Drosophila melanogaster: one gene and its partners. The protein of the gene in region 2 purifies or fractionates together with the protein of the main gene of each other region. This does not show direct contact. Each region holds a gene or a part of one and is shown on either strand. Other genes may lie near its edges. The genes, in order: Bdbt, dco, tim and Clk.

The links.
Region 1: the proteins of dco (region 2) and Bdbt purify together in Drosophila melanogaster (affinity purification with western blotting; 3 studies listed by BioGRID, with this or other methods). This does not show direct contact.
Region 3: the proteins of dco (region 2) and tim purify together in Drosophila melanogaster (affinity purification with western blotting, with the first as the bait; 2 studies listed by BioGRID). This does not show direct contact.
Region 4: the proteins of dco (region 2) and Clk purify together in Drosophila melanogaster (affinity purification with western blotting; 2 studies listed by BioGRID). This does not show direct contact.

The regions. Positions count from the first base shown.
Region 1 is NT_033777.3:21,115,720-21,121,865, forward strand, and holds Bdbt (bride of doubletime), read right to left. Parts: upstream 3,138-6,146; 5' UTR 3,066-3,137; coding exon 2,205-3,065; 3' UTR 2,138-2,204; downstream 1-2,137. Other genes in the region: ppan (peter pan), read left to right, coding at 585-914, 977-1,341, 1,398-1,825, 1,877-2,136; slmb (supernumerary limbs), read right to left, coding at 5,001-5,020, 5,115-5,250, 5,311-5,500, 5,834-6,146. UniProt on the Drosophila melanogaster protein: Functions in planar polarity establishment and circadian rhythms by promoting the activity and localization of dco/dbt.
Region 2 is NT_033777.3:31,052,381-31,062,992, reverse strand, and holds dco (discs overgrown), read left to right. Parts: upstream 1-1,782; 5' UTR 1,783-1,916; exon of another isoform or gene 1,917-2,528; 5' UTR 2,529-2,618; intron 2,619-4,350; exon of another isoform or gene 4,351-4,365; 5' UTR 4,366-4,453; intron 4,454-5,064; 5' UTR 5,065-5,141; coding exon 5,142-6,464; 3' UTR 6,465-8,908; downstream 8,909-10,612. Other genes in the region: Chchd3 (Coiled-coil-helix-coiled-coil-helix domain containing 3), read left to right, coding at 9,280-9,406, 9,686-10,230; Alp4 (alkaline phosphatase 4), read right to left, coding at 10,581-10,612. UniProt on the Drosophila melanogaster protein: Serine/threonine-protein kinase which is involved in the circadian rhythm pathway, viability and planar cell polarity.
Region 3 is NT_033779.5:3,502,576-3,510,275, forward strand, and holds the start of tim (timeless), read right to left. Parts: upstream 4,644-7,700; 5' UTR 4,621-4,643; exon of another isoform or gene 4,614-4,620; intron 4,182-4,613; 5' UTR 3,983-4,181; intron 2,004-3,982; 5' UTR 1,952-2,003; coding exon 1,786-1,951; intron 1,725-1,785; coding exon 676-1,724; intron 619-675; coding exon 71-618; intron 1-70. Other genes in the region: CG31954 (uncharacterized protein), read right to left, coding at 6,597-7,152, 7,220-7,497. UniProt on the Drosophila melanogaster protein: Required for the production of circadian rhythms. The biological cycle depends on the rhythmic formation and nuclear localization of the TIM-PER complex. Light induces the degradation of TIM, which promotes elimination of PER.
Region 4 is NT_037436.4:7,771,475-7,779,077, forward strand, and holds the start of Clk (clock), read right to left. Parts: upstream 4,130-7,603; 5' UTR 4,022-4,129; intron 1-4,021. Other genes in the region: CG32369 (uncharacterized protein), read right to left, coding at 6,996-7,262, 7,324-7,603. UniProt on the Drosophila melanogaster protein: Circadian regulator that acts as a transcription factor and generates a rhythmic output with a period of about 24 hours. Oscillates in antiphase to the cycling observed for period (PER) and timeless (TIM).

The DNA of each region.
Region 1 (6,146 bases), 9.9 Mb from region 2:
ATATACAGATCCATGAGTATCGCATAAATCGACCGCCGCGGAAAGAAAGCAAGCAAAACTAAACACTCCAAATTCAGTTTAAGCTGTAGAACTATAATTTATATAAATATACATATATGCTAATATTAAAATATTAATATTATTAATTTTTCGCAACATAAATATATAGTTGTAATTTCGCGAGCAGAACAACAACAAACAACCGGAAATTCTTCGACTTAAACGCAAATTCATTACCACAGCACTGCAGCTCGGATTTTCTTCTTCGGTTTCTCGCAACATTTTAAACGATTGGCCACTTGGTAAAACTAGCTGATAAAGAGAAATCAAACAAAAACAGTTGTAAAACTTTAAATGCATAAATGAAACGAAATAACATCATTTGTGTTTGCTATGTTAAGTGTGATTAAATAAATATAATTTAAATAAAACAGAAGTGCTTTCAATTGGGCGGAAAATCGAAATTTAAAATGGGATTAGAGTGACCAAAGGCAGACGTCGGAGTGGGTGTTTGGTATTTTCCGCGCGAGCAGCCACACTGATCCATACACGTGCGGGAGAAAAGTGAACAAAAACATTGAAACATGGGCGGTAAGAAGAAAGTGCATCCGAAGACGCGCACGGCGGCCTTCAAGGCCAGCGAGCCGAGCGAGATCGTGGAGGCGCCGCACTCCTTCGTCATCCATCGCGGCCTCGCCTGTCCGTACATCACGGACCTCACCCTGGACTTCCGCCGCATTATGGAGCCCTTTACGGCCAGCAATCTGCGCGAGAAGCGGATGAACCGCATCAAGGACTTTGTCAGCCTGAGCAGCTTCTTCCACGTCTCGCACATGGGCATCTTCAACAAGGCCTCCACGCAGCTGTCCTTCAAAGTGGTCCGCTTGCCGCGCGGTCCTTCCCTGACTTTCAAGGTTTGTTTGTTTCATCGCTTAGTTTATACTGGATATTTTACCGCGAAGTTATTCTCTGTCAGGTTCACCAGTTCACCCTGGCCAGAGATGTGATCTCGCTAAGCAAAAAGCAGATGATTGACAACGATCACTTCAAGCACGCTCCGCTCGTCATCATGAACAACTTCAGTGGCGATGGCAAGCACCTTAAGCTGATGGCCACCACGTTCCAAAACATGTTCCCCTCAATTAACTTGGCCACGGTTAATATCGGCACCATTCGTCGCTGCGTCCTGTTCTCCTACAATCCGGACACGAAGCTGGTCGAGATGCGGCACTACTCCGTGCAGGTGGTGCCGGTTGGCTTAAAGCGGGCGGTCCAGAAAATCGTCAAAGGAACGGTACCCAATCTGGGCAAGTGCAACGAAGTCGTGGACTTTGTGACCAAGTAGGAAATGACCGTTTGTTCTCATTCCATCAAATAATCATAATATTGATTTTCAGGGACGGCTATGCCTCCGAATCAGAGGCCGAAGATGATGAGCAATCACATGTGGTGCTGGCACAGACTCTTAAAAGCAAGGGCAACTTGGAGGACAAAAAGAGCTCCATAAAGCTACACGAGATCGGACCTCGACTAACCATGCAGCTCATCAAAATAGAAGAGGGCCTTCTGACGGGCGAAGTACTGTATCACGACCATGTGGTCAAGACAGAGGACGAAAAGGAAACCCTGCGCAAGCTGGTCGAAAAGAAGCGAAAGCAGAAGGAGCAGCGCAAGAAGGAGCAGGCAGAGAACCGTGCCCGCAACTTGAAGCTTAAGAAGGATGAAAAATGGGCTGCCAAGAGGGCGGCAGAGGGACGGACTGACAGCGATCCCGAGGATGATGCAGAGTACTACAAGGAGGAAGTCGGCGAGGAACCAGACGAAGGTGAGTTGTGCTACATGCTGCGTAGAATATAAACTAATGTTTCCTTTGCAGAACTGTTCAAAATGGAAGCGAAGTCCTCCCGAAAGCGGCCTAGTTTGGGCGGCGGAATGAAATACAAGAACAAGCGCGCTAAACTGGATACCAAGGACAAGAATGACAAATCTGAGCGCACGGACAAGTACGATCGTAAGGACAAGTTCGATCGCAAGGACAAGAAGGACAAATTCGACCCCAAGAACAGGAGAGCCAAGTTCGATCCCAAAAACAAGCGCGCCAAGTTTGACCACAGAAAGAGTAGAAAATCAAAGTAGTACATTTAACATAAGCTATTTTATAAAGACCATTGGTTAACACGACATCGCAATGTTATCAATGGGAACTAACTAAACATACGTTGCACCACCTCCTTGTAATGGGCCTTGCTATCCTTCCAGCTAACAGCGATGTTGTCGCGCAGCTTGCTGAACTCTCGCTTCTCCTCGTAGTTGGGCATTCGCTCGATGGTGGCTTGCGCCTTGGCGAACTCCTTCAGGTGATAGTAGGCGAGTGCACGCCGGTAGATGCTCTTCTCGCTGGGACTCTCCTCCGTCTCCACAAACTGCGTGTGGTAGATTACATGCTCATAGCGTTTCTCCTGCAGCAAACAGGCGGCCAGGTTGGTCTGTATCTGAATAAAGAGCTCCTCCACCGCCTGGCCGTTGATGCCATTGGTCTTTTTGGTCAGTTTATCGAAGGGTTTGTAGGTGATCAGCAACTTTGCGGCACGCACAAAGTAATCAAAGGCGAATTTCGGGAACGTCTTAAAGGTGGCCACGCCGCTTTCCTTGAGACGTAGTGCCACCTCATAGATCTCTGCAGCGCTTAGCTTCTCCACCTGAGTGTTCTTCACAATTTTCTCCAGCTTCAGTTCAAATTCTATTCGTTCGCCGGTTTTGGTCGTGATGCTACAGGCTGCCGTTTCACCCGGCACAAATTGCTGCAGCAGCAGCTCCAAGTAGCAGTCCACTGCGGTCAGGCTGGTGCCCATTTCCAGGCTGTGCTTTTGAGGATACGTAGCGGACTCATCGCTGACCAAATATTTGCTAGGTCGTCCTCCCAAGTTGGTGGCTTTCTTGTTGACACTGAATTCCACCGTACTGATTATCGTGGGCTTGTCCATTTCGGTGAATTGGAGGCCAATTACCTTCTTGGCCAGACCACGGTTCTTGTCCTCCCACTCTGTGCCCACGTACCAGTCCATTTTGGAATATTTGCAAATTGGGAGCTTCGAAATTTAGCAGTAAGCAAAGTTTGCGATTTGGCGATGTGACCAGAAAACCGTCAAAAATGTACCTATCGCGAATTTCACAAAAAATACTTTGTTCTCACTAGTTCATAAATGTAATGCATGGACTACGCATCTATTTGCAAAACAAGTGAGTTAGTCGACTATCAGATACCTTGTACGCAGCTGGTGGGAGTGCGAAGGAGAAATTGGGCAACAATATGAAAATTTTCAGAGCTTAGGAAATACAATAATATGCGGTTATATAATATTATAAAACCGCCCAATTCAATTCTAGTGGTTTTAATCTTTCTATTCCAAAACAAAAATGTTAGCATGCATTTATTGTAACTCATGGCTCTTTAGTAAAACTTTTTATTACCCATTTCCGCTTCACTAAATTTAATCAATTGGGTGAGTCCATTTAAGATAAACAATTTTCTAGCATTTATACACAATTTATTATTATTTCTAGTTATGTTACATATACTAAGCCCATTCGCGCACTAGCAGTTGCTCGGCCATCGTTTAACATGCTGCCCTCTTTCCACTAACAGTTTTACATAATCCGGAGTATGTGTTCATATTTTTGTTAACACTTTTGTTAAAGTAAAACGTTATGTACATACATTAGTTAACGCGGAAGCGGCGTGATCGTGATCCAGATCAAGTATAGCATTGGAACTTAACTTACAAATAGCAATACACATAGTAAAATATCCATTGATCACAATCAACGAACGGCATACATACATATAATTATATTGTTGAAATTGCCTGGGAATTTGCTATTTTCTACATACATCGGTATATCTAAAACCTATAGTTAGCATAGATCAATCAATCAAAGAATCGGTTATATATTGCAGTACAATGGATCCATTTTCAATTCATCTTCGCTCGAAAGATGTGCAACTTCCAGTTGCAGACACTGCTGCGTGTCCTTCTTTACACAATTAACTTTTCAATTAAAATATTTGTATTTCGGTTAACTTAGATTACAATTGCCAATAAGATACTAGGCTTAGATTTACTTTACAATTAACACAAACATTAGGCAAAAGGCGTGTAAAATAGGTTACAAATGTGCAAAACGGCAACGCGCTCTGCCAATTTCAATGATGCAACTCTAACTAACATTTATGCTAAAGACTGATTCTTCTGGCCGCGCTGAAGATTCCTGCTGCGATTCTTGAGGCGGCAGCTGCCTAAACGCGATACTTGTGTATTTGAGCTAAAGAAACACTTAAAATAACGCCCAATCGATCGATCCACTGATCCGAAGGGCGATTCAAAGACTGACCCTCGATTAGTATTACAGCGCCTACATAAACTTATATATAATTTTACTTTTTCTGTCCTTCCGTTTTTGCATCTTTCATTTTTGTTTCATTCGTACACGACAAACCTAACAGCCAGTTTTGCGAAATATCTGCATAAATGGTATACTCCTGCATTTATTGTTTGTTTGCTTTTATAACTTCATTTAATTCATATTATGTGGTTGTGTTTCGTGTGTGTGTGTGTGTGTGGATGTAGTGTGTAAAATAGACGCTTAGAGATCGCTGTATCTTGGGTTCAACATCGTTTTTTGTTTAAACAAGTCTGCTGTGTGTATGTATATGCTGCTGGTTAACGACCATTCACTCATTATTCATCATAATCATTAATATTCTCAACATCTATATCGAAATCCAGGTCATCCGATTCGGGATCCGAACCGGAACCGGTGACGGATCCCGAACCACCAGCATCCCGGTGCCTAACATATCCCCCCATAAACGCGCCAGCATCGTTTCTAGAATCCTCCTCCTCAAAATCATCCTCGTCGTCCTCGTCCGCATCGTCGTCCTCCTCTCCTTCGCTCGAGGATTGTAGATGTAACTCGCGCAGCTGCCGTTGCACAAAATGTTAATGTTCCATCAAGGCCGCTATAGCAACAAGCACAATGGAAATTGAGAAAACAAAACGAAATCGTTATGCATAATTCAAGAGATCAATGGGGTGAAAGTTGGCTTCTCTTACGTGACGGTGTGCGTCCGGTCTTGTTCTCATTGGGTGTGAAATTTAGAAAGTCCCAAATCAAAATTGTATCATCATGCGAGCTGCTAACAATCTGGAACTCATCGAATTGCAAACGAAATACGCGACCAGTATGTTCCTAAAAGGGTTCACCATCGAGATTAGACAAATGCTACTACGGACTGGCCGAATGACTCACCACAAGGGTATTCAGACAGAGAGTATTGGAGGCTGCTCTTGGATCCAGGGCGGCGACCAAATCCCAAACCTTGATCTTGCCATCGTAGGCACCGCTAACGATTCGTTTCGTATCGAAACGAATGCAGCGAACCAATTCCTCATGGCCCTCCAGGACACGTAAACAGGCACCGCACTCAATGTCCCACAGTCTGAAAAAAAGAAAATAAAATTCAAATTTGTTATATTAGATTGTTGTAGACAAAGTAAAAGAAAAGAAAATGATCTCTTTATGCAGTTTAAAATGATAGGAAAACTTAATATAATATTTATGATATATAAATATATACAAAAACGAACAGTTCATTAATATTCAGATACTAACAAAATGTAAGGAAATACGCGTTAATTAAAGCTACTATCTGTGATACGGCAGACGGAGTTAATTCCCACTACTAATCGCAACATTCACGCAGAAATTATCTACACCCATCATTAATCACATCAGCGCCGGAAAGTCGGTTGGTTAAGTTCACACGCCTCACCTTATGGAATTGTCTGAGCTGCCGCTGACCACCAGGCGATCTCTGTACTGTAGGCAGGCGATGCCACGCTTGTGGCCATTCAAGGTGCGCACGAATTCACAGCTAGATGTGGACCAGACCTTGATGGTGCGATCCCCGCTGGCGGACACGATGTACTTCTCATCAAAGTCCACCACATTGACGGCGGCACGGTGACCGACAAGGACGCGCCGCAGCGTAATCTCGCTGGGTGAGGTCATGTCCCAGACGGCGATGGAGCGATCCTTGGAGCAGGTAACCATCATGCCATTGTTAAAGCGCAAGTGCAGCACCG
Region 2 (10,612 bases):
GGAAATATTTTGCGAGCAAGAAAAGCAGCAAGGCGCAGAGTCAGGAAATATGCAAAAATACAAAAGGGCACTGCAAAAAAATGAGTGATTAAAGTTTTTCAAATATTATTCAAAACCAGTACCAGAGGCAGCTAAGTCTGTCGTCTGATTCGTATTTTTATTTAAAGAATAATATCAAAAACAAGTTTATATTGCGTGTTAAAAAAAAATACAACAAAATTAGGAAATAAATTGTCTTAGTATCCCAATAATGTGGCATACTTTTTTACAGTGTTCTTTGAATGGATCATTTACATACACGCGTCTCGCTCGGTTTTTATTGCTTCGCACCTACATATTTGGTTTACTTTTTTCGTTATTTATTTGTTGGTAGTTGACCATCGGTCGAAATAACGACGATTTTCATTCGTCGGCGATCGCACGTCTTTGCGTGTGTGAGTGGGAAAGATATGCTTTGAATTAGTGTGTGTGTGTGAGCGGTTAAACGAGTTGTTTTCTCGTTTTACTTGTTGTATCTTCAATTGCCTCGTTGGATTGCTTTGTTTTCTCTTTTTCCCAGCCAATGGGAGACAAAGGCGGGTTTTTACGAAGATCTTGAACGATTCACCAATAAATTGAAAATGGAGATTTCTATAGTTGCATAAAAAAAATGCATTCTGGCTAATGTATATAAATACAGCAATGGAAAATTAAAATCGTAGGCAAGTGCAATTAATGTGATTTATTTTGTCTATATTTCATTTTAAATTGCCAGCCCCAATATCGAATCGTTACACTCTTTTCACCCCTTTTTTTGTTATCATTTTCGAGTGATTGCTTATCTACCCTACCCCCACTTAAAAAGAAACACACCTTGGCACATACTCCCAAAAAAAAAAAAACACATTTTCTCATATATGCATACATAACTGGATCTGCTTCCTTTTTTTATGTCATCGTTTCTTGGGTTACACAGCCGGAAAATGCACGATGTGAGGGTAAATGGGGAAAGCGGTTGGGCGGACTAATGGAATTCACACGTGTTTTGCTTTATTCGTATTGCTGCAATAAAAGTATACGTTTCAGGTATTTCGATACATCTGTGTAACATCAAAATTGGCATGCTACCTATAACTGCAAGACATGCCAATGAAATCCATTTTCAATTTCTATTTACACGAGAATTTGGAGCACAAGCCTGTAAAAAGAGTTAACAACTTTTCTTAAGAACATTGCAAATTAAGACATAAATTTTATTTACATATTATTGAGTTATCAAATTTGTATATTAGTATAAATATCATTTCAGAATGATTTTTTTTTTTTTGTATTGTTTATTGTATTCTCTTTGAAAATAAAATTAAGCAGATGGGCCTTTGAATGCATAATTCAAAAACTTTCAATAACTTTAGATATTTTCAATTGCATTTCTGAAATAAGGCGCCACCTTTTGTTTCGGGCGCCACCTGGATACCACTTTCGCCAACTCATCCGCTAGGTGGCGCAGCTCAAAAATATTTTTCGTCCATCTGGCAGCACTGGGTCTATGTAAGAACTAGTGTGCCCATATAACAAAAACAGCGTTGTCAACTTGGCTATTTCACAGCTTTCCAGTTACTCGAACTTTGAACTTATGGCTAGCTGCAAGGATATAATTTCGTTTTTCTTTTGATTTTCCAATACTCTTGCGCTATTTTCTTAATGTGGTACTTCGAAACCAACTTTGGACTATCTTAACTTAGTATATGAATCACAGTTTTTCACAATTACATATCTTCTAGACATTCGCTGAGGAGTAAATACCAGATGGTAATTTTCTTCATTATCGGCGCGGTCACACTGCGAATATCAAGATGGCGTAAATTTGTAAAAAATCGTCGAAATCTATGTGAAATAGCCAGAAAAATTGAAACGAAAGCGCAGCGTTGATGCAAAACGTAAGTGGTCAGTAGCGTTTCGGATCGACAGACCCGTTTGCGAGCGAAAAAGCGGCGGTTACCACGCGCAGGAAAACTCGAATTTCCCAACAGCATTTCAGTGCTCATTGAGAGTGCGAGTGTGTGAGTGAGTGCCCTCGTCTTTGTGTTGGTGTGAAAATGCTGAAGCAGGAGGGATAGCAACGTGCTCGCGGTAGAAACCGTGCGAGTGCGGGCGGGACGACTAGTGTGCACGAATCTATTGCCAGGGCAAACGACTCGCATAAGTTTGGTTTTTTTAATAAGAGTCCGAGTTCCGTTTGGTTTCGTTTAATTTTCTCGAGTTGATTGGCAACAAGATGCTAATCAATGTGGCCATAAAATCAGAGAAGAACAGCATAACCGACTCGAAGATAAACGATAAAAATAACTGAAATATGGCAGCAATGCAGTATTATTAAAATTATTGCATAAAATGCGCTTGCGTGTGGCCCCAAAAAGTGCGACTGTGTGCGTGTGTTTGTGTGCGACTGTGGCAACTACAACAAAAACAACGTCTGGGCTCTAAAACAAAGAAAATGAAAATTATTGTGGCAGAATCAATCCAATTAAAAAATTCGATTTCGATTTCAGTCGAATTAGAAGAAGGAAAAGCAGCGTCGCCAGCAGAGGAAGTGGGCAAAGCGGAATAGGAAACAAGGAATATAAGAAAAACAAGCCACGGTAAGTGCGGAATTTGTTCCACTGTGCGTTCAAGTTTCCCTTCTCCACCCGCTATCGGCTGCTCCTTATCAGCCCCGTTATTCGCAGTGCATTCGTGGAGTGCCGTTAGTTTTCGGAGGCCATTAGCGTTTGACAATTAATTGCAAGTTTCCTTCCCCTTCTGAGGTTTCCCCGTTGGTTTTGCTCTGGTTTTTGGTTTTTCCATTTGCTCTTCCCTGTTTACTTAAGCTTTTTACTTTTGTGGCGCCTGCTGGAACAACTGTTTTTTGTATCTTCTTTGTTCTCCAGTGCGTTTTTTTGCGGAAGCTTTTCGGCAGCCGCCAACGCAACGTGCAGCTGTTTTGCAATTGTAATCAATTCGTGTTTACCCGCTGGTCCGAAACAACTGCTGGATACCCTGGGAAATATTTAGTTACCAATAGGAAAGACCGCGTTTTCCCTGCTAGCCTTCCAGTAAACAAATTAAAGCTCCTAAAATTAATACCACATTTCAATTTGACTTACAGTGCTTATACAGTGATTTCTTTCTGTGTAGAACATGGGAGATACAAATAAAAAACGGTACATTTCGGTTAAATAAATCAAAGCCAAGGCGAAAACAACAACAAACACAGGCAGGTTTTGAGGTTAGAACCGCAGAGTGAGTGATAAAGAGTCGGGAAAAGGAGGAGAGAGAGAGAGAGAGAAAGAGAGAGAGCGATCGAAATGCGTGAGCGGTAAAAGAAAGCGCACAGAATGTGGGAAAGAGGAGTGGGAAGGGGTTAGTGAGTGAGAGCCGCCGAAAACAATTAAACTAAATTTTTGTGATATTTGACCGGCAAGTGAAAACTTTCGGCTTGTTGCTTCGTTTTCTGACTTCCATGCGCTTTATCTTCGCTATTTGTTTGTGCTTTCCACCACTGAAAGTGTCATTTAAGTGGCATTTTCACAGTCGCTGCGTTTTATTTTACTTCTCTCCCTTTTGTCGCCGATTGTTTACTCCACGCATACACAAACACACGTCTCTTTTATCTATTTGTTGTTAATCTCTTCGTTGTCTTTTCCTGATTGCTGATTCACCTCCATGTTTCTGGTGTCGTCACGTAAAAAATACACTTGAAAAAAAGAATTATATCTATTCAAGGATGTAAAAGCACTACGGCACATTTGCTTTATTTTATAATAGTACAATATAATATTAAAATGACTAAAACAATAATGTGACGAATGTCAAAAAGTAGTGCTATTTTGCTCTGTGCATATAAATTATCGTTACTCATCACTTATTAAATCTGTTGTTTTCCCCATTCGTAATCAATACACACAGCCGAATGCAATGACGCACTCACTCTTAAATATAAATATACGAGATAAACTTTTACTTTGTGCGAGGTTCGGGTTCTTATCATTTTTGCCCACTGTGCATTTGCATTTCGAATTGCTTTTGGTACGCTTTTCTCTGCTATTTTTGTGTTGTCAACGTAAGCCAAGCTTACTTCTCTCCCGCTCTCTCTCTCTTGTTTTATTCTTAGCTAACGGTTTTCTATTTTCGATATCGATTGTTGCCGTGCGTTGTTTTCATGTCTGTGTGCCACAATCCTTATCACCACAAACAAAAGCGAATTCTGCACGTTTTTCGGGCTTACGCTGCAGATGCGATAAAAACAGGGGATTACTCTCTATATATAAGTGATCGCGAGACGGGTCGAATTTCGATTAACCATGTTGAGGATCTAAAAAAAAATTAACTTAGTACCTCCTATTACAGAACCCTTCGAATACAAAGCCATAAGCGACTGCCTTGAACAAATCGGAACAAGAAGAAGAAAGGAGCTCAGACGAAAGGACAGTGCCAGGTGAGAAAAGTGGAGAAGTGTTGGAAAATACTCACGAAGCTCCGTTAGCTCTCAAAATTAGACTTTTAGCAAACTGTACAAAACAGCAGGGTTGTCATCACGTGTCACAATATAGTGTCAGAAGAATCAAAAGTTGTAGCAAACAAAATCCGACGAATATTTTATCACTATCGCTAACAAGGCGTTCGATATTGTGTTGTTGCTTGCAAATAATCTCTTCTAATAATATCACACATTGTTGCTAGTGGTCAATAGCCGAATTTTCGAAGTCACTTGATTCATATTTACTCGTAAAAACCTGTGACGCCGCTGCTATTTCTATGATTAGTCAAAGCAACTAAGAATACTACGAATATTTACATTCTGATCGAATTCAACAATTTGCCTGCATCGTAGCAACCTTTCAATATCCTTTCGCGATTACAAAGTAAAAGTTTTAGTCCTTGGCGTAGATATTTAAATCTGTATAATATTTTAAGCGCAGCTAATCTGAACTGGGATCGATCAATTCGTGTAGCGTGTAGTATTATGAGTAAGAAAAGCGTACAGCCTTCTTTTCGAGGCAATGTGTTGTAAAATTAAAACTAAATTTCAATTCTCCGGTCCCGCAGAAAGGCAACGCAAATCCGAGGAACCCGAGGAGTCCGAACTCTACCACACAGAAACCCACAGAAACAGACGTAACAAAATGGAGCTGCGCGTGGGTAACAAATATCGCCTGGGCCGCAAGATAGGATCGGGATCGTTCGGCGACATCTACCTGGGCACCACGATCAACACTGGCGAGGAGGTGGCCATCAAGCTGGAGTGCATCCGCACCAAACACCCCCAGCTGCACATCGAGTCAAAGTTCTACAAGACGATGCAGGGTGGCATAGGCATACCCCGCATAATCTGGTGCGGCAGCGAGGGCGACTACAATGTGATGGTGATGGAGCTACTCGGACCCTCGCTGGAGGACCTCTTCAACTTTTGTTCACGCCGCTTTTCGTTGAAGACGGTTCTGCTGCTGGCGGACCAGATGATCTCCCGCATCGATTACATACACTCGCGGGACTTCATCCATCGCGACATCAAGCCGGATAACTTCCTCATGGGTCTTGGCAAAAAGGGCAACCTGGTGTACATCATTGACTTTGGCCTGGCCAAGAAATTCCGCGATGCCCGGTCGCTGAAGCACATTCCCTATCGGGAAAACAAGAACCTCACGGGCACTGCCCGCTATGCCTCCATCAACACACATTTGGGCATTGAGCAATCGCGTCGTGACGACCTGGAGTCCCTGGGCTACGTCCTAATGTACTTCAATCTGGGCGCCTTGCCCTGGCAGGGCTTAAAGGCAGCCAACAAGAGGCAAAAGTACGAGAGGATCTCGGAGAAGAAGCTGTCCACCTCGATTGTGGTGCTGTGCAAGGGCTTCCCCAGCGAGTTCGTCAACTATCTGAACTTCTGTCGCCAGATGCATTTCGACCAGCGTCCCGATTACTGCCACCTGCGCAAACTCTTCCGCAACTTGTTCCACCGTTTGGGCTTCACTTACGACTATGTGTTTGACTGGAACCTGCTTAAGTTTGGCGGACCTCGCAATCCCCAGGCGATTCAGCAGGCGCAGGACGGAGCGGACGGCCAGGCGGGTCATGATGCGGTGGCCGCAGCAGCGGCGGTGGCAGCAGCGGCAGCCGCCTCCTCGCATCAACAACAGCAGCACAAGGTCAATGCGGCGCTGGGTGGCGGAGGAGGCAGTGCAGCGCAACAGCAACTCCAGGGCGGCCAAACGCTGGCGATGCTGGGCGGCAATGGAGGCGGTAACGGCAGCCAACTGATCGGCGGCAACGGACTCAACATGGACGACTCGATGGCGGCCACCAACTCGTCGAGACCGCCGTACGACACGCCGGAGCGTCGGCCTTCGATACGGATGCGGCAGGGAGGCGGTGGTGGCGGCGGTGGAGTGGGCGTAGGCGGTATGCCGAGCGGCGGAGGGGGCGGTGGCGTGGGGAACGCCAAATAATATTTTATCGTTTAGGTTGCGACGCTGGACACGACACAGTAGACAAACAACAACAGAACTCAACAAACTATACATGTAGTATATATAGTTATATATACCTAATATATATAATACTTGCTTTATATATGCGGTAAAACACGTTGAATGTATCCAAGCGGCAGGATGACCAGGTCCCTGCCAGAAACGGAGGACAAGAGCAGTGAGAGAAGAAGAGCAGAGCATAGCAAAGCGCAGCGCTTTTCTTTTTTTGTGTGTACATTTTCGTTTGTTTTTTGACATTTTGGTTTCTGCTCCCAGATGTTAGAACGTTGAGCGCGCTTATTATTAATTAACTAGCCTATGATTAATTTAATTTATACTATTAGAACATAAACGATTGCAACCTGGCTGCAAGAAACTGCAACAAACCGCACTGTTCAATTGATTTGAGATCCCTGCCTGAAGATTGGCCAATAGATCGGCGGTTGATTAGGGGTCCGCGGAAGGGTTTGGGAGGAGGGTTAGCAGGACACGCAGGCATTTAATTCTGTTTTGCATTTGACTATTTGCTCTTGGCCGGCTCAACTTTTTCTTTGTTAACTTGAAGTCCCAGACCAAATCAGGCAGAACATGCAGAACCGATCATGAACACATAATAACTCGATTGTAAGTGTAATATTTGTGTAAAAGAAACAAAGGACACCGCGTTCAGCGAGTGTCCCTAACCCTAGACTATAGGCTCTAGCTCTAGCGAATCCAATCCATACAAAAGCATATGCCACACAGCAAGGCACCCACATTGTAACCTAAGTTGATGGTAAAATGATTGCGATTACCACGTGCAGTTCTCTAGCTTTAAGCAACGCTCTGACTTATAAGGCCCTCCTATGTTATATTATGTAACCTTCTGTACCGCCTACTCCCCTATCTATATATATATATTTATATATATATATATATATATATATATATATATATATATATATATATATATATATATATATATATACTTTCGTGGTCTGCACTTTGCTGCCTGTGTTCATATATATCTTTCCGATTTTTAAACACTTAAGCGCGCATTTCCCGAGCGGTGGGCAAATGGGATGCGAGATGTGGGAGCTGGGAGTTGGGGCAGCCCTTTGTTTACGCAACAAAATCATGTAACTAAGATAGAGAGCATATAAATTGCGTTAGACATACACAACAAAACAATTGCATTAACGTTTCGATTTAACAATGTAAGTAATGGCCCTGCGGAGGAAAGTTACACAACGCTAGCTAATAAACTATAGCTATAATATGAAATTTGTTTATAAGTAATACCAAACCGTAAAATAAAAAAGGAAAATGCAAAAAAAAAACTTAAATTCTAAATGCGCCAAGAGATAATGAATGGGTAAAAATATGAATATACATTAATATAAACTATATCTTATGAGAACACGTAAACATGTAAACCCCACAGCGATCGGCTGGCTAAGAACTAACAAATCAAAGAAATGCAAAACACAAATCGGATCACTGAACGCAGAAGCCACTAAAACTTAAATAAAAGTACATTACGTGATATTTCTTACAAATTGTTTTGTTTTCTAATCGGTTTGTTTCAGTCATTTTACTTTTATTTTTCGAACACAACTCCATTCGAAGCGCACGCCTTGCAAACGACCAACCTTGTAAACACGACCATATAGCGCATTCAGATTAGGGGATCCGCGACCGTGGAGAAGCCCCAATCCTCCTCCCCAAACCGAGAATTGAGAACCTAGTGATGAGTGTACATAAGAATAATATCCGAACCCCAAAAGTATAAAATTAAAATATATACATATGTGTGATTTTCCTCCTAGCATACAGAGTACTAAACCTAAACCATTAGCATTTTATTGATAGAAAAGAAACGAAATCGAAGCCCGACAAACTGATTCATAGCGATTATGAGCCACTAGAAATGGAGAACTAAATGATCTTGTATGAGCGAGCAGTCCATTCAGCATAAGCGAAATAGAGAAACTAACAAATTGAGAACATAGTAATTTCGAAGGTTTTGTATAATTAACTGTATATGTATATTGAGAATAGAATTTTGAACTAATAACTAATTATACTAATTGGATCGAGTTCGAGTGTATCATGGGCGATATGAGAGAAAATCATTAAAAATAAACCACCAGTGATATGGAATACAAAATAACCACAAACGAAATCGAAATCGAAATCGAAGCGGTTCATGAAACATTTCAAAAGTACGTTGGATCGGAATTCGACGGATGTATCGATAAGTGCACGATAAGGCCACATTTATGTAATTAGCAAGTATTTCGAATTAAACCGAACATGGAATATGTATGTGTGAACAGAATAAAAGCAGCTACTAAATAAGCCACACCACCATTCACAATAACAATTACGAACGAGGCATTAAAAAGCTTAAACAATAATAACACGACTCATCAGATTTGCTTATTGTGTTGTCAAACAGAAGTTGGGGGAAATTGTGGAGCTAAATTCCACCGTAAATGAAGGTTTCTTAAGTGAAGGATTTGAATATTCGATAATCTGGCAACGCCAATATACAAAAACAACCAGCCCTGGTCGAACAATCTGGCTACTCTACCGGTCAGCTGTTTTGCGTCTTTTTCGTGCTTGCGCTTTAAGGTCACTCTGAGCACGTCTTATTTTTGTTGGGTTGGCCCTGTAGTTTTTCACCGAAAAGGGTAAGGCCGAAATAAACAGATCGAAGCGATGCATGAGCTTGCGAAGACTTGACACCGATTAACCAATTGCCGATATTCCAGGTTTTGCTCCACGAACAGCAGCTAGAGGAACTTCAAAGATGGGAGCCCGACAGTCTCAATCCCGCGAGCCCCGAACCGTTTCAATGGAAAACCCAACTCCTGCCGGCGTTATTGATATATCCGACGATGTGGTCAAGCGACTGAAGGCGGGAATATCCCAGCAGGGTAAGCAATCCAATGGCATTGTGGAGTTATATCCGGAAATGACCATTTCACTCTGCTCGGTGTTATGCAACAATTGTCAAAACGGGCAAATGTTTACGCCAAACACAGTGGAAACTCGTTAACGAGAACAGCAGCAAGTTGTAGAGAGTGGCTCTTCTATCTTGTTCACAAAAAAAAAACGCACTTGAAAGGGTGTAGTTTTGGTTTCATTGGCTAGTTTCCATTCCTATTTGTATGTTTTTTTCATTAAACTATTGATTTATATCTTGTCCAATTCAGCTCGTGAGCACGCAGCCGCTGCGGAGGAATCGAAACCAGTGCCCAAGCCAACGACGAAGGCTGCCGCCAAGCCAGCCGCATCCTCGCCAGCTGCTTCTCCTGCTCCGAAAGTATCCTCCTATCCCGCTGCAGTGCCCATTTACGTCCAGGGAGGAGGACACACCATTAGCGCGGCCGATGTGCAGCGCCAGATGAACCAGGAGCTAATCAAGAATGACGAGCTGTGGAAGGAGCGCATGGCGAAGCTGGAGGAGAACCTCAAGAAGACCAACACCATCCTGGAGAAGGAGTACGCCAATGCTGTAGAAAATGTGCACAAGCGATTCGTCAGCACCGCGTCGTCGCACAAAGTGCCTCCCTGCCAGGACCTGAAATCCCAGCTGCTTGCCTGCTACCGCGCGCATCCCGGGGAGACCTTGAAGTGCATTGAGGAGGTGGCCCAATTCCGACAGTGCATCGATCTTCATCGCGTCCAGAAGCTGGATGCGGAACCAGAGTCGTCGAAAGTGACCTCCAAGGCCACCGTTCCTGCCAAGGCGGCCTAGGATCCTGGCAAATCCTTTTGTCCTAATTTGTTGACTTTTCTTTGAGGCCCCTTATGGGTTTTGTATAAACGATTGAGCGATCGATGGGGATGTACTCAAAACTTAAGCAAAAGTGTCATTGCGAGCGATAGTAAACTAACTTAAATGAATCAATCCATCGACGTTTTTATGGCCGGGATATTCTATTCAAGTTTACCATGACAAAAATAAAAAACATTGCATATTTTTCAGTGTATCTATTTGTTAAGTTGCAACGATCACTCCTCCATCTCGCTCACTCTCTCATTCAACGAAGCCATCCGTACGTCTATAAACTTTAATAACAATTAATATATTTAAAACAACATTAATTACAGCCCGCGACCGCGCAAAATAGCCGCAG
Region 3 (7,700 bases), on a different chromosome or scaffold from region 2:
TGTTAAATGGTTACAAAAGTTTTTTTTTCTGATTTCTAATCAATTTGCTGTGGATTTTCCTGAAACTTACAGGCTGCTTTTGCTGCGCTTGACCAGTTTTTTGCGTCTAAGCTCCTTTTTGTCCATTGGCGACATAATCGTCCGTGGTTTATTCCGTGGCTTCGTGTTACACGGAGGCTTCTGGTGCTGCGGCTTGCCCTGCGGCCCATCATCGTCGTTGCTGGAGGTGGAAATGGATTCCTGATTTTCCACCTGGGTGCCATAACCGCAATCCGATAGCTCCGACTGCGAGGAGGGGCATTCCCGCTTCTGTGGGCAACACTTGCCCTTGGTCAGCTGGAGCTGGCCGGCATGTGGGGACTTTTGGCCCAATTTGACCGCAGATACGTGGGACGCGTAGGACGATTCGTTGAACTTCTGCATTTGAGCGTGTGCCGAGGTGGAGGCTCTGACTGGCAGAGGAGGTGGTGGCTTGAATGGCTCATTGCCCAGGCAGCCTTGTGGCGCACTGGACGTTGGGTTGGTAGTGTTGTTGACCTTGTCAGCTGGTTGTTGTGTTAAGTTTAGGGGCTCCGAGGCTGGGCCCAATTGTAGGTACTCTTCCTCCTCCACTTCGTCCTGGAAGAGTACGATATTTTGTTATATATTTCAATGGCACTGGTCATAGAAACTCACCTCATCTTCATCCTCCTCGCCATGCTCGTTCAGTTGCCTGTGTCTCTGGTCCTCGTAATCTCCATCGTCCATGGACTCGCCGGCGGGCTGCGATTGCTCCGGCGATCCAGGCTGCTCGCTGTCGTTCCCCGTCATATCGCTGGCCTCTTCGGAGCCATCGGGCTTATCCGCTGGCACTCTGGCCATGGCGTTCTGATACTCCTGACCCTTGCGGCTCACCTCCTGCAAAGTGGCCGCTGTTCCTTCCCGCATGCCACCGCCCATGCCACGGCCATTGCTGCCATTGTCCGAGGAATCAGAGGTAGGATCAGAGGTCAGCATGGGGCTGGAATCGCCACTGCCCTGTTTGGGGGGCGAGGTATTACTCTCATTATCCTCAGAGCTCTCCGACAGAGAGGCTTCGAACCAGAGGCTAAGTAGTTTTTGCAGAGTGCTCACATGCTGATCCTTGTAGATCAAAGCAATCAGTTGCACCATGGTCACTCCCCAGAAGGCTCTCTGCGGACAGGTCATCAGATACAGGAGTAACTTGTCGATGCTCTGGATGAAGAGATTCCACAAGATCGTGTTCTGCATGGAGATGCCATGCGGCATCGACTGCATCATGGGCATCACGCAATGGGCATGCGTCTCTGGAATGTGCAGGATATTTCTCAGCAGCAGCAGACAGTTGTTGATTTGATCGCATTTGTGCGGCGACAGCTTAGGGTCCGACTCCAGTATGTGTTTCATGTACTCCACCACGCTCTTGGTGCTCCTGGCCTCGGTAAATGCTTCCTTGCTGGTGTACAGCAGCTTGTTCAGCTCGAAGATGGTGTGGCGACCCACATCCGTGCGGTACATCACGTCCACGGAGAAGAGGCACTCCACCGGCACCGTCAGATTGACGAGTATCCGGATGACCGACTCCAGGACCGCATCATCCTTGGCATTCTCCAGCAGCGGTATCAGGTCTGACCTCACATTCTGGCCAAATCCAATGGCCCGTCGAAAGGTGCGCAGTGTTTGGTCCTCATAGGTGAGCTTGTAGTTGATCTCCTCCAGAATGGCTGGGGATTGAAAATAAGTTAAATACCTAATTAATGTAGTAGTCCTATATTGATTACTCACCCAATGCATTCGGGTTGACCACATAGGTATCGCCCTCCAAGCAACCCAAGGAGGAGAACGCGCTGTACAACTGCGGAGTTGCTAGTAACCAGTCCATAACCGATTTCACTTTATCAAAGTTCTGATTATTCCAGATGTGATTGTGGAGCTGCCTAACTCTGCTCATTGTCGACTGCGAACATTGAGGTACTTCTTAGCCATTTGCGCGGTATCTGTAACTATAAGTAAACAAAAATGTATATTTAATTGTTATTAAAACTTAAATATTCTTAACGTGGTACCAGAGGTGAATTTAAATAATATTACACATTTAAACTGAGATGTGAAATGGTGAAAAATTTATGGCATTTTTGTAAGCTGTAACAGTCACCTTAAAATATGTTAAGGTCACTAACCCATCGTCTTCCAGGGCATTACGCAACCACAAATGATTCCCATAAATATTTGCACTCGCAAACAAAATCGCCACCCATGTGACCATCAAGGGCGCAGTCCATGCAATGTGCTGCAATTGCAGCCGCTCGGGGATGAAACCCGAATCAACTCCCATTCCACATCACCTCACACACGTGTCCGCACAGCACGTCTCCCATTTACCACCCGTTGCGAGTCGAATCAAGGAAACTGCCTACCAGACGAGCCCCGAAAGTTCCCAGAAGCCACACTTGCCAGTCCGGAAAGTGAAAAAGTGGGCTGGATTGGCAAACACCACCACCCCCCCCCCCCACACAGGGGGGAGCCCAACCTTCAGCCATCACGTAACGAGGCAAATCCTCAACAGGCGACTGCGGCACCCGGTGGCCGCATGTGACTCACTTGCAGACATCCGGGCTGATTGTGTAAACAACACAGTTGGAGGACAAAGCCACTGGGTTCGCAAACGGACTACGGACTACGGGACTCCGGAGGAACAAAGCCTGCAGTCGGAAAAGCCGACCACCCGTAGCGATATTTATAGGACATGAATCGGGATGCAGGATTTGGCATTTGTGCGGCTTCCAGCCTGCTGACTTTGAATGTTTCGTGCTATATTTGGCCATTAAAGCGAATGCAGTTTAGTTGCATTGGTTTTCGTTGCCCTCTTTTGGGCGAACACGTTAAATGGCACGCTAAATGGCCAAGAGCGGAAAATAAACAGCGCAAACAGTTGAGAAAATTTTAAAATTACAAAGCCATTTATGGCCTAGCTGATTTACTATAAAATTGTTTTAAAATGTAATAATGCTCAATAGGAAATTATATCTAAGAAGGGAGATTTAATTGTGTGTAAATTGAGGGACAATAAATTATGGACATTTTATAGAAAATATTAAAAAATATAATTAATAAGAAAACAGTGATATCTAAGAGAAAAAAAATAAAAATACTTTTCTTTTAAATTTTACTTAGATATTTCTACTGAAACTAATATCGAATTTTGTTGGTCGAGCATAATTTTTGCACCATCCGAAATCATAGATCATCTGAGCATCTTTGTATCTGTGAAACGTTTCTAGCAACCCCAATACCATTTCCGCTGACTGGTTATGAAATCAAAGACCCAACTTACATAAAACGCAAGGCGAGAACTACAAAATGATATGCGCATTGAAATTTCGAGCTGAGTATCTACTTTTCTTGGAGAGTGAAAACAATTTTCATTCTTTCGCAAAGGGGAAATTCATTGAAGCGAGGTTGAATTTGCATTTGAAACGGAAAGCAAAGATAGATCACGAATAAATATTTAAGATTTGAATTTGCAATGCAAATACATCTGAGGGTCGTTAAAATCCTAGCTAAACGAGCAGAAACCACTGAACATCTGTGTGCCAGGATGAAATCTGTCAGTTTCAGGACGATTCCCGTACTTATTTCGCTATCCTGTTTCTGACAGGAATTCCGTGGAAGGCCAAGCCTCCTTTTTTGACAGTTCACTGCGTGCTTTTTACATAAGAATTGTAACGGAGAATTGTTGTGCTTCGTAAATTGCCCCTTTAACTTGTTTTCATTTTCCCAGTATTATGTGATTTCGTTTTCATGTGGAAATGGGTTTTCTTTCTGTGCAAGCTTTAATTGCTTGAATATGTCGCCGCTTAAAGCTACTTTTTAGAAAGCTTTGTTAAAGTGTAATTTTGTCAGGGGTCAACTGATAACGAACTGTGTTAGGTCAGGTCTAAGCTATGTAATGTTAAATATACTAGTGGTTTATATTTCTTACCAATTATTTAAATTTTTTCTATCGCAGACAATTTTACTGTTTTAGTTTTAGCCGAATTGCAATCAACAATTAAAGCTGATTGTTTATGTTTCTAAGCAATTGAGCTTTTCTGAGCACTTTTTGGGTTTCTTTGCAGAATAGATCGTGTTATAGTTTCAGTGCTGTTATATACACTGATGAAATTATTTTTGTTTTATATCTGAAAGTAGTTTTAAGAATATTTGTTAGGGTAAATTCAGTTTTTTTGGTAATATTAAGATTTTAACCACTCATGAAAAATTTGTTAAGGATTTGCAATTTTATTTAACACTTTGTGAACTTTGCTTTGTTAACACTGCACAAAAAATTCTTTATACTCGTTGTTGGCTTATGTAAAATGCAACTTCAATAGCAATTAATTTGCACTTTTTTCGATTGCAATCTAGGCTAAACACTGAGAGAAAGACCAGTGAGTCATGTAAGCACTCTCTTTAAGATTATTGATATGTGAATTAATAAATATTATTGCATGAATTCACAAAAGTATTCAAGATTATTTTAGCAAAATATCTTTATTAAATTTTCTTTATTTAAGAGATATTTATTTTCGAAACTTCTATTTTGTTGATAAACTTCGAACCGCTCAACGAACCGCTTACTTGGAACGCACAATGCTGAATGCGATCTGAGTTACGGCTAGCTCACCGAAGTCAGATACAAAATGCATCTCACAGATACACACACTGACCGAAACACCCACTCACACAGGGCCAACGTGCCGCTGCCGGCGTTTGTGCGAACGAAAGACGCTAGCCGAAAGCTCTCGCCGCGCTGCTCCGTCCCGCTCGCACTCAATGCCGGACGGCCGGGGAAATCGGCTCACGTGTAATCACAACGTGCCGCACGTTTATTTGCCAACCGCCACTACGATGTTCGATAACATGAATAACCAGCGCCGGAAAATACGGAGAACAGTCTGGGAACAACAGCAATAGTCAGAACGTTTCTGTGCACTCAAAAAAAAAAAGTGTGTCACTTTACCAAATGGTATCTTCAATAACGAGACTTCACTTTACTTTAATACTTTACTTTACTTTATTTAATAAATGTATATATTTAGTGTGCAAAATAATTAATATAAATGATTTCAAAACTACGTTTTTTTTTGATTATACAACACTCACGTTTATATGTATATAATATATTCAATGACATATTTTGTTACATACATAAATATTATATTATTTTGTCTGCTGCTGTACTGTATTCCTCACAGACGTTTCACATTAAAACCAATATTTTTTTCAGTGTAAAGTTAAACGTTTTTGACGCCGCCTTCGAACGACTCTGCCGTAGGCTTCGTCAGGGTGACATTGTTCGGCTCTGAGTGCCTCAGATGATCCGTTGAATAATCCTTTTGGGAACGGAATCAACAGTTGGTTGCAGGCGCGGGCACACGCGGCGTATACGCACCGGGCTCATTGAATGCGTATACTGTGGGGAGCGTATATATTTACTTTGAGTGTTTCCACGGTGGCGCGAGCTGCAGCACGTCGGCACCGAATCGCGGTGGTAAATCGACTGGAAACGGAGGTTTAGGAAAATACTTTTGCTCGGACTGGGGCGATAGAAATAAATAACTGACACTCTCATTTTACGAAGTCACTCACTCACAATAGGCGATTTGACGTCAAAATGTTATTCAACCCAGACTATCAAATTCTATTATTTCAATAAGAAGATTAGTTGTCACAAAAAAAAGAAACAAATTAATAATGCTGTTAATTAGATGGTTAGACTTTTGTAAAAGGTGACAATCTAACTATATTTTTAATATAAAGGAGCAGATTTTGATTGAATACATTTCAACTATGAATTAATTTTTTTATTTTTTGCAAATAATATTTAAGTTATATATCCATTGCTGCAAAGTGAATGGAGAAAAACGAAAGTGCCAATGTAAGAACATAGCATTGATTAGACCACTTCAGCCGATCCGCCCAAAGTTTCCACTCAACGTAAGTTGTGCGATCACTTCGCCAATGCCAAGGCTATGCAAGTACATACATCTGAATTATGCAACGCCTGATGTTAATTTCTGTAAGCTAATTTATCACTAAGCAAACACAACAATGGCGGAGTCCGTTCAGCGGCAAAGTAAGCCACGCCAATGCACAAAAACTTGTCCCTACGTATACGTAATGCAAGTAATTGCGTATACGCCGCATGTAACACATGAACGGTGGACAGTCACGATGAAAGTTGGCTGATAAGCCTCCCAATCAAAAGCAAAACAATTAGATGCGATGCCCACTCCATCCCTCACAAACGGCCAAGGACTCGTGCAGCCCGACACATCCTCTTAACGTGGCCAAGTAGACTCATTTCCAACAACGCGACATGCGCCGGCGAAGTGTGCGATATCCTGGAGGGTCGCGTGTTTGAAATGCTGGCTGCGTGCTGGCAACGTGTGCGAATCCTTCTATTGAAGCGGCGCATTATGAAATGGTTCCATCGGATTGGTTGGCATCGTTTGATAATTTTTTATTGCGGGTATTTGAAATACATCTAGTCAAAGCAATCGCATAGGAAGAAATTGATTTCAAACTATGTTAACTGTGCAGGATATACGAATCTAGACACCACTGTGCTCCTTGATCCAATCCCGTGCGAAACTTACTCTTGAGTAGACACCCGGATAGTCGGGCTTAGCGCAACCGTAGCCCCAGCTAACCACGCCCACCAGCTCGCCCGATTCACTGACCATCGGACCGCCGGAATCGCCTTGGCACGCATCCTTTCCGCCTTCCAGAAATCCAGCACAGATCATTCGCTCGGTGACGCCGCCGTACTGTTTGTACTTCTCGCTGCAAAGCTCCTGATTGACCAGAGGCACCTCCACCTGACGCAGCCACTCGCGGGACTCCAGCAGGTTCTGGGTGTTGCCCCAACCACTCACGAAGCAAGCTTCCCCGTCCATGTATTTCATCTGAGACTCGGGCAGCTTGACCGCCTTTTTGGTCTCGTCAAACTTGATGGGATGAGCTAGCTGAAGCAGCGAGAAATCGTAGTCCACATTGGTGTAGTTGAACTGGGCGTGCTGCACGATCTTCTGCACCCGCAGAAGTTGGCCACTGCGAGCAAATTCGCTGGTTCCGAGTCGCACTTTCAGGCGATCTGCCGTTTTACCACTACGAAATCAGGAGGAATCATTTTTGGCATACTCTCTAGAGAAGATTCCTTGAGCGGCTTACTTACTATGTGCAATGGGCGGCAGTCAATATCCACTCCTCGGATATAATAGAACCGCCGCAAATATGGGACGAAGTCTGCAGCGAAACCTGATGTGGTGCATCGGTGATGTTGATGCGGTGACCGCCCACAATACGGCCATCCAGGCGGGGTGATAGCTTCCAGGGATTCTTTATAACATCCTCAAGCGATCGCTGCCTCTTAACGGGCTGTGGTATTAAACAAACGCCAGCCAGAACCAACAGGCTGCACTGCAGCAGTACAAACAAGCGGAGAGCCAACATGGTTGTTTAACATAAACCGAAGGTATTCAATGGCCTAAGGCAGAGTAAAACCTTATATAGGAATGCTTTTCTTGGATTAGTGATAGCCACCCAGTGGGTAGAAGACCCGCTGTGCCATCACTGCGCAGCTTATCCACCAGCTGACACACAAAATGCTCGGAACACATTCATTTCGGGGTGGCATTGGACACACTCTCATTTAA
Region 4 (7,603 bases), on a different chromosome or scaffold from region 2:
TTCGTGTTGCAATTAGTGCGGTCGGTTTGGTTTGTCGCAAAGTGCAAAAAAGCAGTCGAGATAAGGTTTAAGATGGAGACATATAGAGAGGGTGTCAGGTATTATTATTCAGTAAGCTAGCTTTGCCCCGAGGAATGTGGTCCAATTACAACTCAATTATAAACTCTGGAATTATTGGGTTAAAAAAAAAAAATATACGTTGCCTCAATACAGCTTAAATAATCTTTAAGACGTTTACAAAAAGTCCAAACTGCCTAAAATGTTTATAAACCTCAAGTCGAAAGATCAATCAATCACTTTCTAAAATGAAGACTTCATTAATCTCAATCCAATATGATTGTGATCTAAAGTTGCTGAGTTAGTTACTCCTCTTAAAAATCATTAGTGACTTTTAAATAGTTTTGAAGTTTGTTACTTATGAAAATGTAAGTACAATACCTTTCGTTCACCTTAGCTTTTCCAATCTCTTTTAGCCTTCACCCCAGTGAATTGAACTGCACTAAACAGCTTTAAAACCAACATCAAATTCTACACAGTATGTGATATAGAGTATAAGCATCATCTATTACAAATAGTATCTGATGTATCAAACAATTGGCATTGACCACATTGTTGTGGAATAGTGTGCTGTAGTGTGCTGGAATATCTAAATACACATTTGCAATGCGGAAGCCAGTTAGTCGGAGTGGAGAAAAAAGCACAGAAAGCCGGTTGGAGTGTCAGGTTTACTCAACCCAGGCGAAGATCGTTGACTGACCTACTCACGACGTCGGGAGATATAGTGGCCATAACTCTACCCCTCTCTGTAATCGGCAATCGCCCCGTCTCGCTCAATTGCACTCTCTAGTCATTGCTGTCTCGCTTTGGCGCATTGGAAACGGGGAACTAACGTCATTTGATTGCATTTGTAAAGCTTCGCTCAGTTACAGAAATTATCGCATACTATCGATGTGTGGGTTACCTATATATGTGCACCCCATATCTCTCTCTCTCTCTCACTCTCTCTTTCTCTCTCTGTCTCTGGATTTCTTTGTCAGTGAACTTGAGCTTTTGCTTGGCAATGCTAATTGCATTGCGATTACAACATAGTGCCCGTGTGTGAGTGATAATACCCAATACTCATACGACCCGTTGTACAACTTTGCTTCCTCGCCTTCTATTTCTCTTTCCGCAAAACTTGTAATACTTTTCGTCGCGCTCTAGCGTTTGTTGTCTTAAACTTGACTTAATTAAATTGTTCACTATTATTTTATTTTTACCTCTAGTCATTCATTGATTTATTTCGTCGGCGTTCGTTCCCCCTTATTTTACCGAGACGGGATTTAATTACAATCTACCAATTCCGAGTTCATCGTTAATAGTGTTCAAGGGGTATACTTCTATGTGGTTTTCCAGCATGGAGTTGTTGTTCTATAAACAGAACCCTAAACGGATCTTGGATTTTCCTTTCCCTAAACGTTTAACAATCTAATAATAAATTGACGTATCTGAATCATTAGCAGTCTGCTTAAAATCATCAGTTCATCACATAAATCGATCTTTATAATGATTTAATATGTTTAGATTGAAATTGAATAATATTTTCGTTAAGGGGGAAATTTTAAATGAATTCTATTTAGTATCGATTAAATTCCGACTAATTAAAAACTAACTTGATTTCATTTAAGTGGACAAAAACTCACTATACCATTACAAAATTCATTAGGTTAAACTTATTCAGTCCAAAGTTTTGCTCTCTTTAGGTTATTCCTTTTGATATAAATGAAGGGTGTCTAACTTTTAGTCATTAGAAATTTAAGTGCATTTTTCTATAAGTTCTTTTAATTAAAAAACGACCCAGAGGCTTTCCTTAAGTTTTCGTTCTTTGTTTCCAACTACCTCAATATTGTTAAAAAAAAAAAAAAATAGATCTGGAGTAGTTGTCAATCAGTTGCTTATCTCACCGTATCAACAACTAGCCATATTTGCTCTAAGTGAAAATGAAGTATACGCTCTGCAAGCCAGAGCGAAAATGGCCAGAAAGTGCAGCTGACTGCAGATTAAATTAAGTAGCGTTTCGTAATTGTGCCCCATTTATTCGACTAAATGCAAAAACAAGAATCGAAGTTGTATCACTTGTAATGTTTAAAACCTTTTTGCATGTGCCTATAGTTTTTTTAGTTGTCAATTGAAATAAGTTTTACTGAGAGCGTGTGCGACTACCGCATGATCGCACACCACTGCACAAATGCACACGCGTACTCACACCATTGCAGCAGAACACACGCACACAGATAGACTGGCGCACACAGATACTCGGGGCAGTCAAACGCTGACGATGACGTTTCAAAAACTCAAAAAGACGCCACATCCGAGACCTGAGACTTGTCAGCCAACAATAAAAAAAACAAAAAAAAAAAAATTTAAATAAAACAAATGGAAATAGTTGGATTGCAAAGCGACTAGCAAATTACCTAGCTAGTTTCAGCCACTGGAAATTCTTGTAATTAAGCAAAACTTACAAACAATATTATTTATCTTGAATTCACCGGAATGAAAATAGTGTACTGCGTAAAATATCCAATCAATCTTGCTGAATGAAACTAAAACCAATATCTAAAAATATTTTTTAATTTTTATATTTATTTTAATATTGGGTACGAAATCCAACTTTTAGAGTAAACAAACGACACAACTCCATTCAAAATTCGAATAAAGAGTACATTATTAAAATACCTTTCCAAATCTAAAGACATTTTAAAAAAATTATAGTTTTTATTATATGTATGTGGAAAAATCGCTCTCACAGGTAGTTTGTTTTCAATTTTTTTTTGGTTGAATGCACTTTTGTTTTAAGCGAGAAGTATCTTCACTCGTATTCGCTCGTATCTCATCCTTGGGTTTGCCTTATCTTTTTTGGCGCGGCATTTTTCTTCTGTTATTTTTGTCACTGCGGATGTTCTACCTAATGCACTTTTGCTTTTATTATTTTTATTTTTTTCCTCCACTTTTGCTTTGCACACTTCACAATTTTGCCGCAGCTGATTTGTAATTTAATCTTTTGAATCTGGCGCAAAACTTTGGTAATTAGCAGGTAAAGTAGTTAATTTACTTCGAAATTGAATCTTAGCTACATTAGTTTGGATGCACTTGTTCAATTAAATAAAACTTTACTACTTTAGTATTTAACTAAGATCAATTTTTAACTTGTGAAAACTTGTATTTGTGTTTTATTGCAACATCACTGACATATAACTACACTTTTTTATTTGGCTTTTTAAAAACGCCCATTATTATTTAAACTATTTATTTTTATCCATATATTGCCTTTGGCGGCTTATCCACTTTTGTTTTTTCCTCTGCCTTTCACTTTGTTTCTTCAAGAATTATTCCACATTTGTTCCTGTTTTTATGGCACGAGTGTTTTAAAAGTTACATAATAACTTTTCCCGTTCTGCTTTGCGCGTTTTTTTTTTTATACTTCTGCACTTGGTGACATATATACGCCAATATATAGAAAACGATATCCAATAACAAAAACACTTTAATTTCTTTTATGGTAAAAGGTAAAACAAAAAACTTTTTTGGCAATATCAGCAGAAACAAGGAAGAAAGCTGCAATTTAATTAAGCGCAAAGACGGAGACAAACAAAAATATTATTCCCCTTCAAATCCGAAACAGAACCGAAAAGGCGAAAAGTGTGTAATATGCGATCGAGTTACAGGCAGAGACAATATCAACGGCAGACGGCTTGACTTTGCTTCAGATCGGCCAAGTACTTGCGATATAAAACAATAACTGCGCGCTCAAAAAAAAAACCCGGAGAAAATGCGAATAAATCGAAAACCCGAATCGGAAAATTAAAGAGAGAGATCCGCTCGTTGACGCTGCGCTTGCTGGACTCAAACTGAATAAATGCACGAGAATTGCAAGTTCTAAGCTGGCGAAAATAAAAACTACAAACGCAAAAAGCCCGTGGATAAACGAAAAACCGCGAAATGCATCGAAATGTGAGCAGCGAGTCCCCAGAAGCGTTCTCACCGATACAAAGATACGAAACCGAATCGGTCGGGAGAGTCAGTCGGTCTACAAGTCTGTTGTAATGCCTTTTGCCGGCCGGGGCGTATACGCGATATGTGCAAGCATTCCCAGCTCTACCTGACTGACTGACTGATTGAGCACCGCCACTCGGCTATTATTTAATATGCTCTCCACACTCAGAATCCGCCATATCACTCAATTGCACCGATCGTGAACCTGAGTTGAGTCTTTATCTATCGCTCTATCAAACTATCAGCACGCTCAGAGCCACTCTGCTCAGAGGGTCTCTCTCGGATCGGATAGTATAGCTTTTCTATATAGTTTTCTTTCAACCTTTCTGTTTGTTGTCCAATATTCCGCGTGTTTCTGGCATTCCGTCTGGAGATTACAGATATAAGGGTCTCTCGGGGGTCTCGCAGGGGTGATTCAACGGGTTTTGTTTGTCCGCGACTTAAGTTCAAGGTCTGTGGCAGGGGTGAGTTTTTGACTATAGGTCGGCATAGACTGAAACTAGGTAGGTGGTGCAACATACCCTAACTATCTTTTGATCTATCTATACTGCTTCATGTCTATAAACTTACATTAACAGATCATATGTGCATTTCATGCAACGTGAGGCGAACTGAAATATAATTTGAAATAATAAGAGAAGTTAAACATAATTTAAAGTTAAAACTAAACAAACTGTTTTAATATTTAATCATTTAATTTAATGTAAACTTTTACTAATTAAATTGTCTTATAGTATGGAAAGTGATAAAAGAACTTCCAAACTGTCATTTCAGCTTTTGTTAATCCACACAAATAATTTCCAAAGCACTACGGCATTAGCTTTTTAATGCAAACTCATATTTCAATAAATATTTCATATATAAAGTAGTTTTAGTATGAATTCAATAGTGAACCACGACCCTTACCTTTGATTCCTTTGTCGTATTTTATCTTCAAAATCAATTCAATTGGAATTCAGCTCCGAATCTAGCACTACGACCTCACTTTCTGCAAAGGTAGCACAGAAAACTAATAATTCTGATTCTTATTCCATGATTGCCTAATCGCGAACCGCTTGCACCAGAAATTCGATATTTATTAGATGCTTACGTAACATTTCAGCACTCGATTTGCAATTTACAAGATTTTCTCGATTTGATTTGAAAGTTTTATAGGTTTATGCAACGCACAGGATGTATATATGTAGCTATTCAGCAATGCAGAGGTGTAGTCAGAACTACTTTGTTGTCAAACTGAAACTCAATAGTTTTTTTTATCAACCACTTTTATAAGTTAAAAGAAAAACCATAGTTATGTTCCACATTTATTTTATATTTTAATTGTTTTCCTCTTTATTTTACATCATTATTAAATTAAGAAGTACCAGTAAAAAAAATTTAGCACAAAAAACACAGAGAAAATATGTTGTTGATTTGATCTTAAGAATTTTAGAAATATTATAAATTTTTTTTTGTTTCATATAGAATTATGTAATAATTTCTTCATATAAAGTAGACACAAAAATAATGTCAAATTTTGGGATTGTATTGTATTTAGTGTCTAAACGTAAATACACGATGATTTAATTTAGACGTTCGTGTATATTTTGTATAAAATTACATAAATATTTTGTTGACAAAAAATGTTGATTTATTTATTTATTTTGTGTTGAGCTGAAAATTAAATTCGTGTTCTATAACTAGCGTAGAAAATGTACATATAATTTATGGATTATCCGTAAAAAGATATTTACAAAGACAAAGATGTGCCGACTGATAAAGCAAATTTTTGTTTTTAAAATTGATTTGCTTTATAGGGAGAGTTTGAACGATTAAAAAGAATAAACAAAATGAGTATGCGGCTTAGAAGTAGAAGAAATCAAAGACAAAGATGTTTTAGCTAATGTTACAAAGATATATCAAAGCTATCTCTTCAATAGGAATGCGGGCTGAAGATACAGATACGAATACAGAAATAAGCATTTAGCGTATAGCACTTTATATATAGGTTCATATAGGTGAGCATATCATTTAGTTAGCCTAAGCATAATCAAGAGAGAGTAGGGGTGTTATAGAGAGGGACATAGTTCAGAGGGTATACATAGTGAAAGGGTATTAGTCAACAGAAAGGTAATTTCAAATTCTTAACACATTAGTCCACCCATTAACTTTCTTCATAACTAGTTACTAGTTCAGTTTTCGTCTAATTACTCTTGTATATATAGTTTTTAGTTTCGTTTAGGTATATCAAAAAAATATTGCAGATTGTCTTAGAGTTCCAGCCGCTTTATACAAAGTAAATGAAGAGAAGTTTGACATTTTGTAAGAGTTTGTTTTCTTGGCTCTTTCCTATCCGATTTATTTGTAGGTGTACGTTTATTGGCCTTTGACTTGGTATTTTACTAGTAATTTTAAAATTGTTTAATGGTCAAAAATTTGTGTATGTTGTTTGTAGAAACCATGAGTTTAGCTTGTTAGAGATTTTACATTTCATTTCTTGTTTATTTCCTTTCCTTTGCTACTTTTGCTATGGCAAACGTATTTTCAAGACTTGTGGAATGTGGTTGTAGTCGATCTAGGGATATTATTTTAGCATTTATGGATTTTTGGGGCACGGGCTTGAGCCAAAAGCATGTTTTGATTGTTTCACTGGTGATTTCGGGTTTCTTTTCTCTTCGTTTTTGATTTAAACAAATATCTCTGGTTTGCTCTCTAGTTGTTTACACACATTTACAATACACATTACACACACAAAGTTATGGTTAGAGCTAAGGATTATGTTGCTGATCTAGTGATAATTTTGGTTCTGCTAAGGTTGCTTCGCTTTCGGTTTTGGCCCCTAGGATTAACATGTAACGTTCGATTACAAACGAAATGGCTTAGACACAGAATTTACAAAAGAGTGTTTTCCTCGCAGATATCTGACTTTTAATTTCTCTCTATTTTCATGTATTTTATAATATTACGATGATCATCTTGGCGGTTTACAGGAGCAGTTCCTCGTCCGTGTGCGGCTCGTTTCCGGTTTCCGCAAAGAGGCAACACTCATCGGAACCGGAAGAAGCGCCCTCCTGCTCTTCGCAGTCGAGATCGAGATGATGCGCCTGCTGAGGCGACTGTGGCGCCTGCTGGTGGTGGTTCATTGGGTGGTGCGCCGGCTGTTGTGGGTGGCTCAGGTCGTGCAGCCAGTCCAGTGTCTTGTCAATGGCACGCAACCGCTTCTCCAGCGAAGTAGTGGCCAAAATGTCCACCTAATGGGGTTGATATCATTGTTAGAAAAGTCGCAATGAACACAGAAACCATTTAACCCACCTTTAGTTGCTGGGAGAGGGGCAGCAGGGCTATAATCCACCACGCCCACGCCGGTCCATCGCTGATCAGCTCCCAATTTGGCTCCAGCGGTGGCATCTGGCCAAAGCTCTGCAGAATCTCGTGCTTCTGCTCTGTACTCAGGCTTTCGAACCATTCACTGGCTTTGGCCAGGACGACGCCCTGCATTCCGGCCAGGATCTTCACCTGCTCATCGGCAATGGGTTCGTCGCAGATGTACTCCACCTTGGCCGTTTCATAGCCATCCTTTTCGTTGCGCGCC